2 linked regions of the Caenorhabditis elegans genome follow. The protein of the gene in region 1 purifies or fractionates together with the protein of each later gene. This does not show direct contact. Each region holds a gene or a part of one and is shown in the gene's direction. Other genes may lie near its edges.

Region 1 (6,792 bases):
GCTGCTCTTTCTCATAAATCATTCAATTTCTCCTAACAACGGCTCAGCACTCCATCCTACACACAACGTGCTGTGAGATATGTCTGCGTCTCTCACAGATACGACAATTTCCGGAAAAGCAACATTTAGAAATCTTCAGTTTTCCCTCTTTTCGGAGAACAAACAGTGATATTTTTCCCAAATTGAGCAGAAAAAAACATTTTCTCGAACTTCAAACAGATTCAGCTGACGATTTGCTTACCATGGAGAGGACTCCTGGTCCGGTGTGCTTCTCCTTGAAGTTCTCGTCTGGGAACTTCTCTCCGTAGATGGATTCTCCTCCAGTTCCGTTTCCGCGGGTGAAGTCTCCTCCCTGGATCATGAAGTTCGGGATGATGCGATGAAACTTGGATCCCTTGAAGTGGAGTGGCTTTCCAGACTTTCCGATTCCATTTTCTCCGGTGCAGAGAGCGCGGAAATTACCGGCGGTCTTTGGGACAACGTCATCGTAAAGCTGTAAAAAATTTATTTATTGAAGATGAAAATAGCCAAAATTTCACAAACCTCCATGACGATACGTCCGGAAGCCTTACCACCGATGGTGATGTCGAAAAAGACCTTTGAGCGGCTCATTGTTGAGGCAAGAATAGGGAAATTACTGAAAAATCATAAAAATTACATAATTTAAACGAAAATCGATAAAAAATCTGAATAAAAAACAGTGAATTCGCATGAAAATTCAAAAAATGGGACCGAAATGGAGAGCGGCAGAGAAATTTCGATTTGTGGGCGGGGTCAGAATGTTCGCTCCGTTGATAATTTGTGAGACCGCGAAGTTTGAATAAGGTTTTCTTTCATCAGCAGAGCGTGCTTACATTCTTCTTTTTGGTGGTAGTTTAAATTTGAGTTTTTTAACCAATCAAAAATTAACAGTTCTTCGCGGTATTTTTACCTTCTCCTTAACAAAAAATAATCTGCAGTTTTGAAAACTGAAATCAACAACAGAATTTATCAACAACAAATTCAACAAAGCTTGGAGCTAATCTTCCAAAAGATCAATGAGCTTCTGAAGCAACGCATTGTAGGTTATATGATCGAGAGATTTATAATTTTCGTGATGCTTCAACGCAGTAACATCTTCGCTGGTCTCCAATTGCGAAAGGCATGCATTTTGAAGCCTTGAGAGTCTGTAGACTTCGGCGAACTTCAGCTTGTCGATCAAGTGGGTCTTTTGGTCCAAAATCAAAAACGTTTCAGCCTTTTCCAGAACTCTTGGCACCGCGAATCTATCGCTCAGCTTGAGCAAGTGAGACACGTTGGAACCTGAAAATCCGTTAATAATTCCAAGCCTCAAATAAAAAAAAGAACTTACTATTAATGAGCATGTGAGTGGGGTAGATCACATTGAGCAAATCGATAAACTCAGAGTGGGTCACATCATCGATTTTGATCTCAGCCTGTGTCTTTTCGGCGAAATTCGAATAGAACATTTTTTGGAAGAATTGCGAGCTCGTTGCGAGCACTTGCTTGCCAACATGGACATGTTTTCCTTCAAGCACCAGCACAACATCGGTAAGATGTTCCTTGGGTTGATCGAAAGTCTCGATAATCCTCTCATGAATTCCGGCAATCTTGTTGACAGTAATTTGGACTTCAAGAACGGCATGCTTATCGAGCACAAATCGATTATCGTAGCAGATGGCTTCCTCCCAATTTTTAAAATTGTTGACCACCACAATCTTGTTCAAGTCGTCGAACTTTTGCTGAAACTCCATCGAAAACGCGTCATCATCCTCGTTTGAATTGAGTCTCAGAAGTGAAAAACGAATTGACGCATCGCAGGACCACAAGTTGCTGCGCAGTTCCTCGTTGCATTTCAGGTGAATTCCGAGATGTTTAGCATTGTTCGTAGCGTCGGAAGTGCTTGTGAATGCTCCAAGAATCCTTAAAAGATAATATTTTAAATAATTTAGAACATTTTTTGTTTCATTAAAATTCACTAACCATTCTACGTGTCCAATTTGCACTGGTTTGTGCTCCGTCGCCTTCGCCAAGCCAGAAAAATTTTGAATCTCAAAACGAATTGATCCTTTATTGTCTTTTCCAGACATTTTATCTTGTGATAAATTTAATTTGAACAATGAAGAAGAATTTGAAACAAACAATTTAAGCTGAGCAATGCTCTCACCTACAGTACACTAAATGGCTTCGAGACCAGTCAAAATTTATAAAGTTTATTGGTCTATTTCTAGGACTTTCACATTAACCATTTTTAGCACATCACGATGTATTTTGTGCAGATTTTATTTTGTCCTTGTACGAAAAGATTATTTTTTAGCGGATAAGCAAAGCTAATCTTGACGAACCGCTTCGCAGATACCCGTCACATGCAGAGCTTCATATTTAGCTCAATCGATCTCGAAAGCATTCAACAAAATGAAAAACTGTTGGATTAATTTGTGATCTATTTAGCAATTTAAAATGTTCTCAATGTTTCTCAATGTTAAATCATCTCGATATTTCTCCTTCTTTTCGTGAAGACCGTGGTGATGATCGAACTGATATCAATGACCGGTTTTTCAATGTAATCTTTTATTGCCTACAAAAATTGTTATCAATTTCGGCGCCGTTCTGTTGTTTTGTGTACGATCATTTGAAAACACAGGCGCACGGTGAAAGTGTTGACAAAAGGCGGGAAACACAGCGAAAGTGTCGTCAGATATGGCGCATGTCGTATGATTGGGTGTCGGGTACGCAGACACTTTTGCGGACTTTGTTGTTTACGTCGGAAAATTCTAGAAGCGAACGGCTCATTTCTTCTCTCTTTCGTCGCCTAATTTGTTGATTTTGTCAGAATTTTTATAGTTTCGCTTATTAAAATGAATTAAAATCAATTGAAAATTATTTAAGAACTTTTTTGATGTGCAACTGTCGTTTAATCCTTGTTGAATCACGTCTTTCGGCAGATTTTAGGCCCAACAGGAAAATTAATTTAGTTGGGCCTAAAATTTTCTGTTTTAGTGCGCTAATTCACTCCATTTCAGTATATAGCTCATCCGTGTGCTTCTTCCTTGTATCTTATGGTGCTTTGTTTATATTTTTAACTTTGATTGATTCCCGCTCTATTACCGCAGAGCGTGTTTGCCGCACCTCTGTAGATATACCTATCTCATACATATTTCTCAACTATAACTCAAGCATTTTAGTGATTACCCTACCTGAAAATGAGCCGCCCAAGAGTCTTCTTCGACATCACCATCGCCGGAAAACCAACCGGACGTATCGTTATGGAGGTAAACAAAACACTGATCTTTTTTCATGAAATTAAATCTTATTTTCAGCTCTACAACGATATTGTTCCAAAAACCGCTGAGAACTTCCGTGCTCTTTGCACTGGTGAGAAGGGAGTCGGAAAGTCCGGAAAGCCACTCCACTTCAAGGGATCCAAGTTCCATCGTATCATCCCAGAATTCATGATCCAGGGAGGAGACTTCACCCGCGGGAACGGAACTGGAGGAGAATCCATCTACGGAGAGAAGTTCCCAGACGAGAACTTCAAGGAGAAGCACACCGGACCAGGAGTCCTTTCCATGGTAAGTTATGTTGCCTAGCCAGATTGAAAGACAGCATAAACTGATAGAAAAGAAGCATTATCTAGTTTCTTAACTGTTATCCACTGGCTGATAAGTTTCATTGTTTTTCTTCAGGCTAACGCTGGACCAAACACCAACGGATCTCAATTCTTCCTCTGCACCGTCAAGACTGCCTGGCTCGACGGAAAGCACGTCGTTTTCGGACGTGTCGTCGAAGGATTGGACATCGTCAGCAAGGTCGAGGGCAACGGAAGCAGCTCCGGAACTCCAAAGTCCGAGTGCCTCATCGCCGACTGCGGACAGCTCTAAATTTGTTCTCCGTGAGAACTTTTCTTCTTTTCAATCACCCCATCCAACCCTGTTTATTGCTTCACTTTTTCATCTTGATCATCAATAAATTGCTCGAAAAGAATATAGTTGTTCAGTTACATGGGTCGTACTCGAGGAAGCCTTCGTGAATTGTTCTCAACAGCTTGGAGAGAACTGTAACATTGTAGAAGCGATTGAAAGCGTCGATTTCCGTCATTTTGTTCCAATCTCTGCGCATTCTATCCTGAATTTCAGACAACCGTTCGAACTCTGTTGACTCGTGAAGAGTAAACACATAAAATGGAATTGTTAGAGGAAAAGCTGTAAATTGTGCAAATATTCAGATTTCGAGCATAAAATGTAGGCATTGTTGCCAGCTCTTCACATTCTTTTGGTTATTCTCACTTGTCAGATTCCTAGAAATGTTTCCCGAGATTCTTAATAATGAAAAACTTCGATTGGAGAACATTAAGAAGATCTATGAATCGAGCAAGTCTGGTTATGAATCGGCCAAACAGTTGTATGAGCAGCAGGTCAACAATCCGGAAGTTTCGGATGAGCAAAAGTCGGAGAATTTGGAGAAATTGAAGGAGTCTCGTGGTGATTTGGACAACTTGCAGAAGAAAATCGTCGAGCTTCAGGCGAAGATTGAGAACTTGGTTAGTTGAATACCTTTTTAATAAAGCTCCAGTAGTCTCTCCATTTTCAGAGCAAACTCGGCGGGCAACAAGGAAATCCATTCAAGAAGTTGTTCTAATTTTTGATATTTTCTTAAATGAACTTTCTTCCAGTTACAAGAGTATTACAGGCGCTAATATTTATTTACAATTGTGGCAAGCTATTTCAGAAAATAATGTGCGGGTTAGTAGGTTTGGGTTGTACACAAGAATGATTTTAGTCCTCGTCGGAGCTCTCTTCCGAATCCTCTTCGGAATCCGAGTCATCATCTCTCCGAGCGCCGATCCCTTTTATCTTTCCGACGAGCTTTTTGATGAGAGATGGCTTGTTCTTCTCTTCGTATTCTTCCAGATTATCGTGAAGCTGAAAATTGGAACATTTATTGTGAGAAGGCTTTTTGAAAACATACTTGAGATCTGAAATCGACGATCTCTTCAGCCGAAAAGTTCGCGACAATGAACTCTCTGATAGCAGGCTCTCCGAATTTGCACATCTTCAGCACGTGCTCCTCCTCATCCGAAAAATCACCGTAATCATCATAAATTTGCAAGTATTTCTGGAAATTCTCAATTATTAGGGCATTCAACCCCAGAACCCTACCATTCCACAGAATCTCCAGAAACACGTTGAAGCTGCGAAGTCTCTTCAGCCTCTCCATCATTTGTGAAGCCATCGTCTTGTCCGGAGCTACAAAACTAACAATTTATTTTGATGAAGCTTATTATATATTTGCCTTCCCAAAGTGACTGCGGCAGTCATATCGAGACACAAATCATGATCACCATTGTAGAATCGATTCCACCAGAAGTCGAACTCTCTGACGCCCATAGACTCGTTTCCGAGAGCATCGCAGAAATCTTTGTATCCTTGGGTAGAGTCTTTCAGACTGAAAACTTCGTAGAGGACGCAAGAACGAACGAATTCCGGATCTTTGCACAGAGGAGAAGTAATGAACTGAAAAGTAAAGGAGTTAATCGAGAAATTTGAAATTTTTTAAACCTCCAAGTGCTTTGCTTTCTTCTCAGAACGTGACGGATCCGATCTCAGGATTTGCCCATTCTTTGCACGTTCGAGCTCGTGGTCAATGGCATTTTGTGAGCTGATCTCAAGACCCAAATCGTGATTTCCGTCGTAAAAACGTCTGTGCCAGAACTCGAATTCCCGATTATGCATGATGTCGTTTCCGAACGTGCTGCAGAAGTTAGCGAATCCCTGAGAAAATGTGTTCAGCTTGAACACCTCGTAGAGAACACATGTGCGAAGGAAGGCTGGATCAGTACGCAAGGAAGAAGCCATAATCTGAAAATGAAAATTAATGAAAAGCGTAATACATAGTGCAAAATGGAAGGGAAACATGGGAAAACCAGGGAAAGAGAAAAAAAGTTAGAGCTGGACCAAATTTGGGACAAAGGAGAAAAGAAACGAAAAAGAATTCAATTTTTACCGCGCGCAGAATAAACTTATTTGATCTACGGATAGGTCAAAATTATATAGATCTGATCAAATTTCTTTTCTGAAAAAAAAAAGTTCTGATTTTTTAAACCGAACAACAAAAATTTTCCGTTTTCCGATGTTTTGAAAAAAAAAATCTAACAAAAGAAACACATTTCTAGGAAAAGAAAAAGTATTTGCAAGGTTCGAGTTTCGAAAAACTATGTTTGAACCGTGCCACGTGACGCGTGGTTGCAGAAAAAGCGTGCGGCGCTTGCAAAAATGGGCGGATTAGCCACACGCGCTCTCATACTACTGTAGACAAGAACATGTGCAACTGCAGACTGAACACTCTATTTGACGCGAATATGCAAAACATGTTTTCTTCCGGATTTTTGCCACGCCTTCCAGCTTGTTTTTCATCATTTTTCCTGAAGAAAAAATAAATATTTCATTTATTTGTTATTTACCAGTTTTTAAGGCCTTTTAGAATAATTTAAAGTTTTCCATTGGGGGATTCCGAACAAAAAATTTAAGTATGAAAAATTTTCTTAATCTCAAAGTGATGTGGACTAAAATCAATTATAAAATTTGCATCACACGCTTGGTAATTGATTGATCCACTCAACGGGCCTTCATATTTCGGGTCGAACACTCTTGCAAGCTCCGTAGATCGGTTTTCCGGGAAGAAAAGTTTAGCGTACTGGAAGTGGGCAGATACTGTGAGGATCTGGAAATGAATTTTATTTAAAATTTTATTTTGAAATGCATAAATAAATTTAGATGTTTCCTCTACTTTTTT
Region 2 (6,248 bases), on another chromosome or scaffold:
CAATTTTTTAAATAGAAAAACTATAAAAATTCCGCAGCAATGGAAGTTTGAAATTACAGTATCCTTTGAAGGCACGCACCTTTTTGAATTTATCAAAATATTGACCGGGTACTGTAGTTTTGACGCAAAATTTTGCGTCTAGCTAATATTGAAATCGATCATTGTGGGACCTTTTCTGGAACACATTTAACTAGAAAAAAAACGAACTTGGTAGTGAATTTTCCAATAATAGAGTGAATACTTTCAATACTGAAACGTTTCACTTCATCTACATATTGTGGACTATTAGAAGACATCAAAGCAACTTTCAAAGCAACATGAACTTTTTGAAGTTCAAGTGTGACTAAACGAATAGCTTCTTTGCATTCACATCCTGGTGGAAACATTGGTTCCAAAATATTGAAACCAAAATAAGCAGAAGTGACAGCAGTTCTCAAATTCTCATACATATCGTGAAGAGGTGGCAGTGGATCCTTCTCGTTGGGCTCTGTAAAAGAAAAAAAAATTGATAATATCAGAAATAATTCCAGAACTCACTAGCTTTTACGTATTTCTCGTTGATATTGTTGAAATAATCGAATTGTCTTTGAAGTTGAGCCAAATGTTGTACACTTTCAAGCATATCACAGCAAACAATTGTAGCGCTCTCGACGAGTTCTATCAGAAACTCTGGATCGTGTGCGGGCTGAAATTTGTTTTATTTTGAGGTAAAAACTAATCATGTGTTATTCAATTAAAAAAACGTACTTTGAAAATTCAACGGTTTGCATTAATTATTGTTTTTTTTTATATTTGTTAAAATTTGAGTGCTTGTAAACGAAAAACTAGCAATTTAAAAACTTTCCTAAAACTAGTATTACTCATATGCGAGAATCCAGAGTCTAAAGTGCTTTGAATTTGTTTTTTTTTGAAGATTGAATTACCATGAGTTCTTCCTTCAAAAGTTTTTCCATTCGCGGCGAATAATCGGAAGAAATATCACAGGGAGCCTGAAAAGGATTCAACTTTAACTATCTCTGTTTCAAAAACATTATATATATATATATATATATTACCCCGACACGAAATTTTGCAATGTCTAAGCTTAAAATATGGTACTCGGTCTCGCCAAGACAAATTTTCGTTAACCTCAAAAAGGTGTGCGCCTTTAAAGAGTACTGTGACTTCAAATTTGTATAGACTTTTTATAGTTTAAAAAAAATGATTTATTGAAATTTGTGTTTTAATTGTTTTATTTTGGGATTTCAATAAATCAATTATTTTTAAATGAAAATCTATGGAAATTGAATGTTTGAATTTACAGTACTCTTTAAAGGCGCATGTCGCTTGGCGAGACCGGGTCCCGCATTTTTTAAAGTGTACAATCTCATGTCTTGGTAATATCAGACAACAAATTCTTACATATCTCGACAAAATTCTATTATAATAATGGAGAAGACCGGTTCCCAGACTATGAGCGAGAAGAGCCACAGTATCTTCGTGTACTTTCTCATTATATGGGAATGAGGGATTCCAGACGTCTCGAACGAGTTGTTCGGCTATCAGTGTTGGAGCTGAATCCATCGACTTTTTGGATAAAGTATCAGATAGAATATTTTTAACGTGATGGTATGCTTGTGATTCTGTCCATTGACGGTTGGAAAGTGGGGATTCTGAAAATGGACAAAAAATATTTTTTAAATTTCAGTATTTACTATACTTTTAGCAGGTGAAGCGAGTGGATCTCCAATACGTATCAATCGATGTTTCACCTCTGTATCCTGTTGCTGACCGGTTTGACCACGTGGTTTGGGCTCTACAAAAGCTTCTTTCAATGGTATCTTGTCGCTAACAATCATTGGAGCTGTATAATCAGTTAGAATTGGCGCAATTCGAGATTCATCATCATCGTCATATTCTTCACCTTCTTCATCTTCATATTCTTCCTCGTCCTGACTAATTTCTTCAGAATCACAATTTTCATCTTCAACATGAGACACTTCTTCGTCCTCCGTTGAATCATACTGTTCAGAGTCTCCATCTATCGGAGTAGCTCCTCCATTTGGAACTCGCTTCTCCATTTTGTGGCTTTTGCTCTGTGGCGTAACATTCCATACGTAATCTTGATTCTGAAATTTAAAAAAATTAAATTAGATTACATTCTGATAGATTTGAAACTTTTACCTCTACGTACAGAAATGCAGTAGGATCATTATGAACATGGCGAATAAATGTGTGAAGCTGTCCAGTAGTTGTGATTGGCACGTACAAACCATTGACTGAAAATTGTCTAGCTTTACAAAGAAAAAAATTTATTCAGAAACAAAAGGGACCTCGAATACTGCCTGAAAGCTGCAGTTTCTCAAAATTTGCAAACAACAGTTGAAGTACTTTTCTATCTTTCTATATAAATTTTCGATTAAAACTTCTACAAAACTATGAGAAACTTTAACTTCGAATTTTTGTCTGAAAATTCGCTCCGAAATGGGATTTTTTTGAGAAAATTACCAGAATAATGCAAAGAAACAGTTTCGTCGTTGGAAATTGTAGCCAAATAGTTGTATACATCCTCGTATGTAACTTCCACATTCGAACGATACAACATTCTCTGAAAAGAAATGAATAAATCTTGAACTATCAGATATTTAATTTACTTCTCGAACATAGAAGGTGAACTTTTTCTTTGGAGTTCCAACGTACATGTAGCTGATTGCCTGAAAGGGTTGATTTTAATGTTGTTGGACTCGAAATCTTCAGAAATACTTACGACAATGTGGTCGTTTTTGTTCTTTTGACGTTTTCGCGCATTGCCTGATGATTTAGGCAGTTGTGACATTACCATAGTAGGCATTTCGGCTGAAATTTAGTTTATTAAGTGGAAGCATTAATTTCAATTTATGAAAAGGATAGAGAAATGTCATTTAAGCAAGAAAATCGAAGGCTCTTTGGAACGCTTTATGGAAGAGTGCAAGTTCGGCCACAAGGCCAATGTCTATTTATTTTCTGCTCAATGAGTGCTCATTAATGGGCTTATAATAGTAGTTATGATGGCCGTTATGAATGGTGAAATAATTTATTTAATTTCATGTTTGGGTTTGTGTTTTGTTCTATTTCACCCCAATTTTTTGAGTAATGTAAATATAATTTCTAAATAGTGTTCCGTGATTCATGAATGATATTTTAATTCTCCTATCCACAAATCTGTTTAATTTTCATTATTATATCACATTCGACCAGTAGGAAATATGAAAATCGATAACTAGTGTTTAGGATGAACCTAACTGAACTTCCTAGGAGATCAGAACGCGCAGTATTTGTAAGAAATCGATTTGTTCTTGATACGCTGAGCGCATTTGTTCGAGAAAGGTACTTCATTCGCTTTTCTTTCGTCTTGACGAACGGTGAGCAATTTTCTATCTCATTTCTTGAATTTTTCTTCTTCTTTTCTCAATAATATATTTCATAGCTATGAGAACTTTTAATACTTCAAACAAAATAGATTTCGGACTAAGACTGAAATTAAAAATGAAAATAATATTATAAAAACAAAAATAAATATTAACAAAAAATAACTGCGTAGTAAGCTGCTGCGTCTCTCATATTCTCATGCTCTCTCGTTCGTTCTCGCGTTCCAAATGCGCTCTACCGGACCCCTCTCATCATTCTTCGAATTTTGTTCTTTTTTTCAAGTTTAGAGTTAAATCCATTGTTTTTGAATCACTTTTTATCTGTTAACGCAGTATTTTGAAAATTTTATGTTAATTTTCACCTAATATTCGCTATTTATCGTCTCAGTTTACAGAAAATGCTCATCAAAGTTAAAACCTTGACTGGAAAGGAAATTGAGCTGGACATCGAACCAAATGATCGAGTCGAGAGAATCAAAGAAAAGGTAACATACTTTAACTTCCATTTTAGCTAAATTTTATCTCGAAATATCCAACGAAAATTATTTTGCAGGTCGAAGAAAAAGAAGGAATCCCACCACCCCAACAGCGTCTCATTTTCGCCGGAAAGCAAATGAACGACGACAAGACAGCAGCAGATTACAAGGTTCTCGGTGGATCTGTTCTTCATCTGGTTCTTGCTCTCCGCGGAGGATTTTAAGAAAATGTATTCATATAAAATGTAAACTCCCGTCTGAATTGAGCCCGCTCCAAATAGAAACGAGTCACAGTCCCGAATGTCCCGTTTTTATGTCCAATCTCTCCAACTTTCAATATTTATTGTTACATCAGTTCTTTAAATCATATTCCTCATTTTATTTTCTGTGTTCAAATAAATAATGCATTCTTGATCTCGTGATGCTATTATTTTAAAATTAAAAGCAGTCCTGCCCTGAACGCAACGGCGAAACAATTAGTGCTTCTCATTGACAATTTTCTCCTCATTGAAAAGGAATATTAAAAAAAATCTCGGTAACTCTTAAAAATGTTTTTCATTTATTAGAAAGAAATTGATGAAAATAACACTATGGTAACAAAAAATCCTGAGAATTCGTATTACGCAACAAATGAGTACTGTAGCACTGCTGACGATTTACGGAAATCATTTATTAATCGATAAAATATTAGAATAAAAAAATGAAAAAAATAATACGGAGAAATTCATTTCGAAAATCGAGCCCGTAAATCGACACAAGCGCTACAGTAGTAATTCAAAGAATTACTGTAGTTTTCGCTACGAGATATTTTGCGCGTCAAATATGTTGTTCAATACGCATTCTCAGAATTTCGTGTTCCCGTAATAGATGGGTCTCATCGCGAGCAAAAAAGTTTGGTAACGCTGGTTGTACTTTCTTCTCAATTTTGATTGTCTCAAAATCACAGTTTTTCATTCGAATATGAGCGCAAAAGATTGGAATATATTTATCCGTCACTGGATGTCTTGTTACTCGAATTGTATGCTTCAATATCTTAAGTTTGAACATCCAGACATCAGTGACTTGCCTATTATTATGAATCTACCTAAGCATAAAATTGGACCACAAAAGTTCGAAATAACTCGTATTGATGGAATTAAGGCAGAGTGTAACGTCGTTGAATCCATGGATGGTTTCTTCACCTTCACAATGCAAACAATTTAATATCCCAATTTTACAATCTCCGTCCACAATGCGTAAATGAAGCGTCGATGTCATTCATGAAAGTGATCGAAAAAAGCAGCATGCCATTCTAATAATGTGTTAGTGTTTTCTAATCTTGTTCATACCTAACACATATTGCACGACATCTGTTTTCCCCAGTTCCAAAATTCGTGTAAAATACCATTCCCATTTTTGTAAATCGTAATATCATCTCCTCACTCCCATCTGTTTCCCCTTGCATTCATCTTTTTTCTATAAAATATTTACCGTATTTTTTCCAATTTACCATATTATCTTAAACATCTTCCGAAAATTAGTACTGTACTCCTTAATAATCTTGCGTTTAATTTTTTGTTTGGTGCAATCCCGCTTCACTAATTTTTAAGAGTTACCGAGATTTTTGTTTCCTGTTTTTAAACAATTTTCTCAAGTTTATAAAAATTGAAGTTATTGAACTTTTTGTTACAGTTATGATCAAAATGTTAACATCTCCAAATGAAAAATTGAGTTCTTTCAAGTAAAAATTAATAAGCCCAACACAAATAGTATAACAATCATAGAAGAAATACGGTTGTTATATTAAGTGCAAATCGAAAATGTATCCATATAAGATGGTGCCATATCAGCCATATCGGCTCTCGTTCAGATCACTTAAACTCAGAACTATGATGACGAAAATATGTTTTCTAAAATTTTCATTTCATTGGTAAATCGAAAGAACTGCATAACCTGAGGATAGCCTTCGTAAAATAGAATTTTGAAATAAAATACCCCGGTCTTGCTTATTGGTATGTCGTGAAGATTTCTGAAAAATTGTATTGCAGCCATACCAATAGACAAAATACGGCAGTTATATTGCATGTAAATGGATGAATTCTATATATTTTAGACCACAATTGTTTATTTCAGACAGGATGGAAAAATATATTCACAATAGACCAGAGACAGAAGAGAGAAGATCAAGAGGAAATAAAATAGAAATATCAAATAAAGAAAGTTAATTTATTTTGAATGAGATATGTGAAGAGATACGGAAACATGGACGATGTAGTCATGAGCTGTCACCGGAGCGTTTCTTCTTAAAAAAAACAGAATTATGATAATTGCCAGATTAATTTTTGGTTGTGAATGACGCAACGCATTGGACAATGATAATAAACTGGATTAGGAAAAGATTCAAATA

Evidence for each region. Proteins that work in one complex are often made in the same cells at the same time.
Region 2: the proteins of cyn-7 (region 1) and ned-8 purify together in Caenorhabditis elegans (affinity purification with mass spectrometry; 2 studies listed by BioGRID, with this or other methods). This does not show direct contact.

The regions. Positions count from the first base shown.
Region 1 is NC_003283.11:15,183,772-15,190,563, reverse strand, and holds cyn-7 (Peptidyl-prolyl cis-trans isomerase 7), read left to right. Parts: upstream 1-3,185; 5' UTR 3,186-3,203; coding exon 3,204-3,272; intron 3,273-3,320; coding exon 3,321-3,572; intron 3,573-3,686; coding exon 3,687-3,881; 3' UTR 3,882-3,982; downstream 3,983-6,792. Other genes in the region: cyn-3 (Peptidyl-prolyl cis-trans isomerase 3), read right to left, coding at 242-493, 544-612; bath-36 (BTB and MATH domain-containing protein 36), read right to left, coding at 1,019-1,302, 1,352-1,923, 1,984-2,090; Y75B12B.3 (Transposase), read left to right, coding at 4,304-4,540, 4,591-4,638; Y75B12B.1 (Mos1 transposase HTH domain-containing protein), read right to left, coding at 5,156-5,246, 5,293-5,513, 5,559-5,855; fbxa-84 (F-box domain-containing protein), read right to left, coding at 6,523-6,720. UniProt on the Caenorhabditis elegans protein: PPIases accelerate the folding of proteins. It catalyzes the cis-trans isomerization of proline imidic peptide bonds in oligopeptides.
Region 2 is NC_003279.8:10,371,396-10,377,643, reverse strand, and holds ned-8 (Ubiquitin-like protein NEDD8), read left to right. Parts: upstream 1-3,781; 5' UTR 3,782-3,784; coding exon 3,785-3,871; intron 3,872-3,939; coding exon 3,940-4,086; 3' UTR 4,087-4,271; downstream 4,272-6,248. Other genes in the region: hpo-35 (PB1 domain-containing protein), read right to left, coding at 208-487, 538-685, 924-989, 1,402-1,652, 1,700-2,108, 2,164-2,258, 2,488-2,587, 2,634-2,693 and 1 more; sptf-1 (Specificity protein transcription factor 1), read right to left, coding at 6,117-6,143. UniProt on the Caenorhabditis elegans protein: Ubiquitin-like protein which plays an important role in cell cycle control and embryogenesis. Covalent attachment to its substrates requires prior activation by the E1 complex uba-3-ula-1 and linkage to the E2 enzyme ubc-12.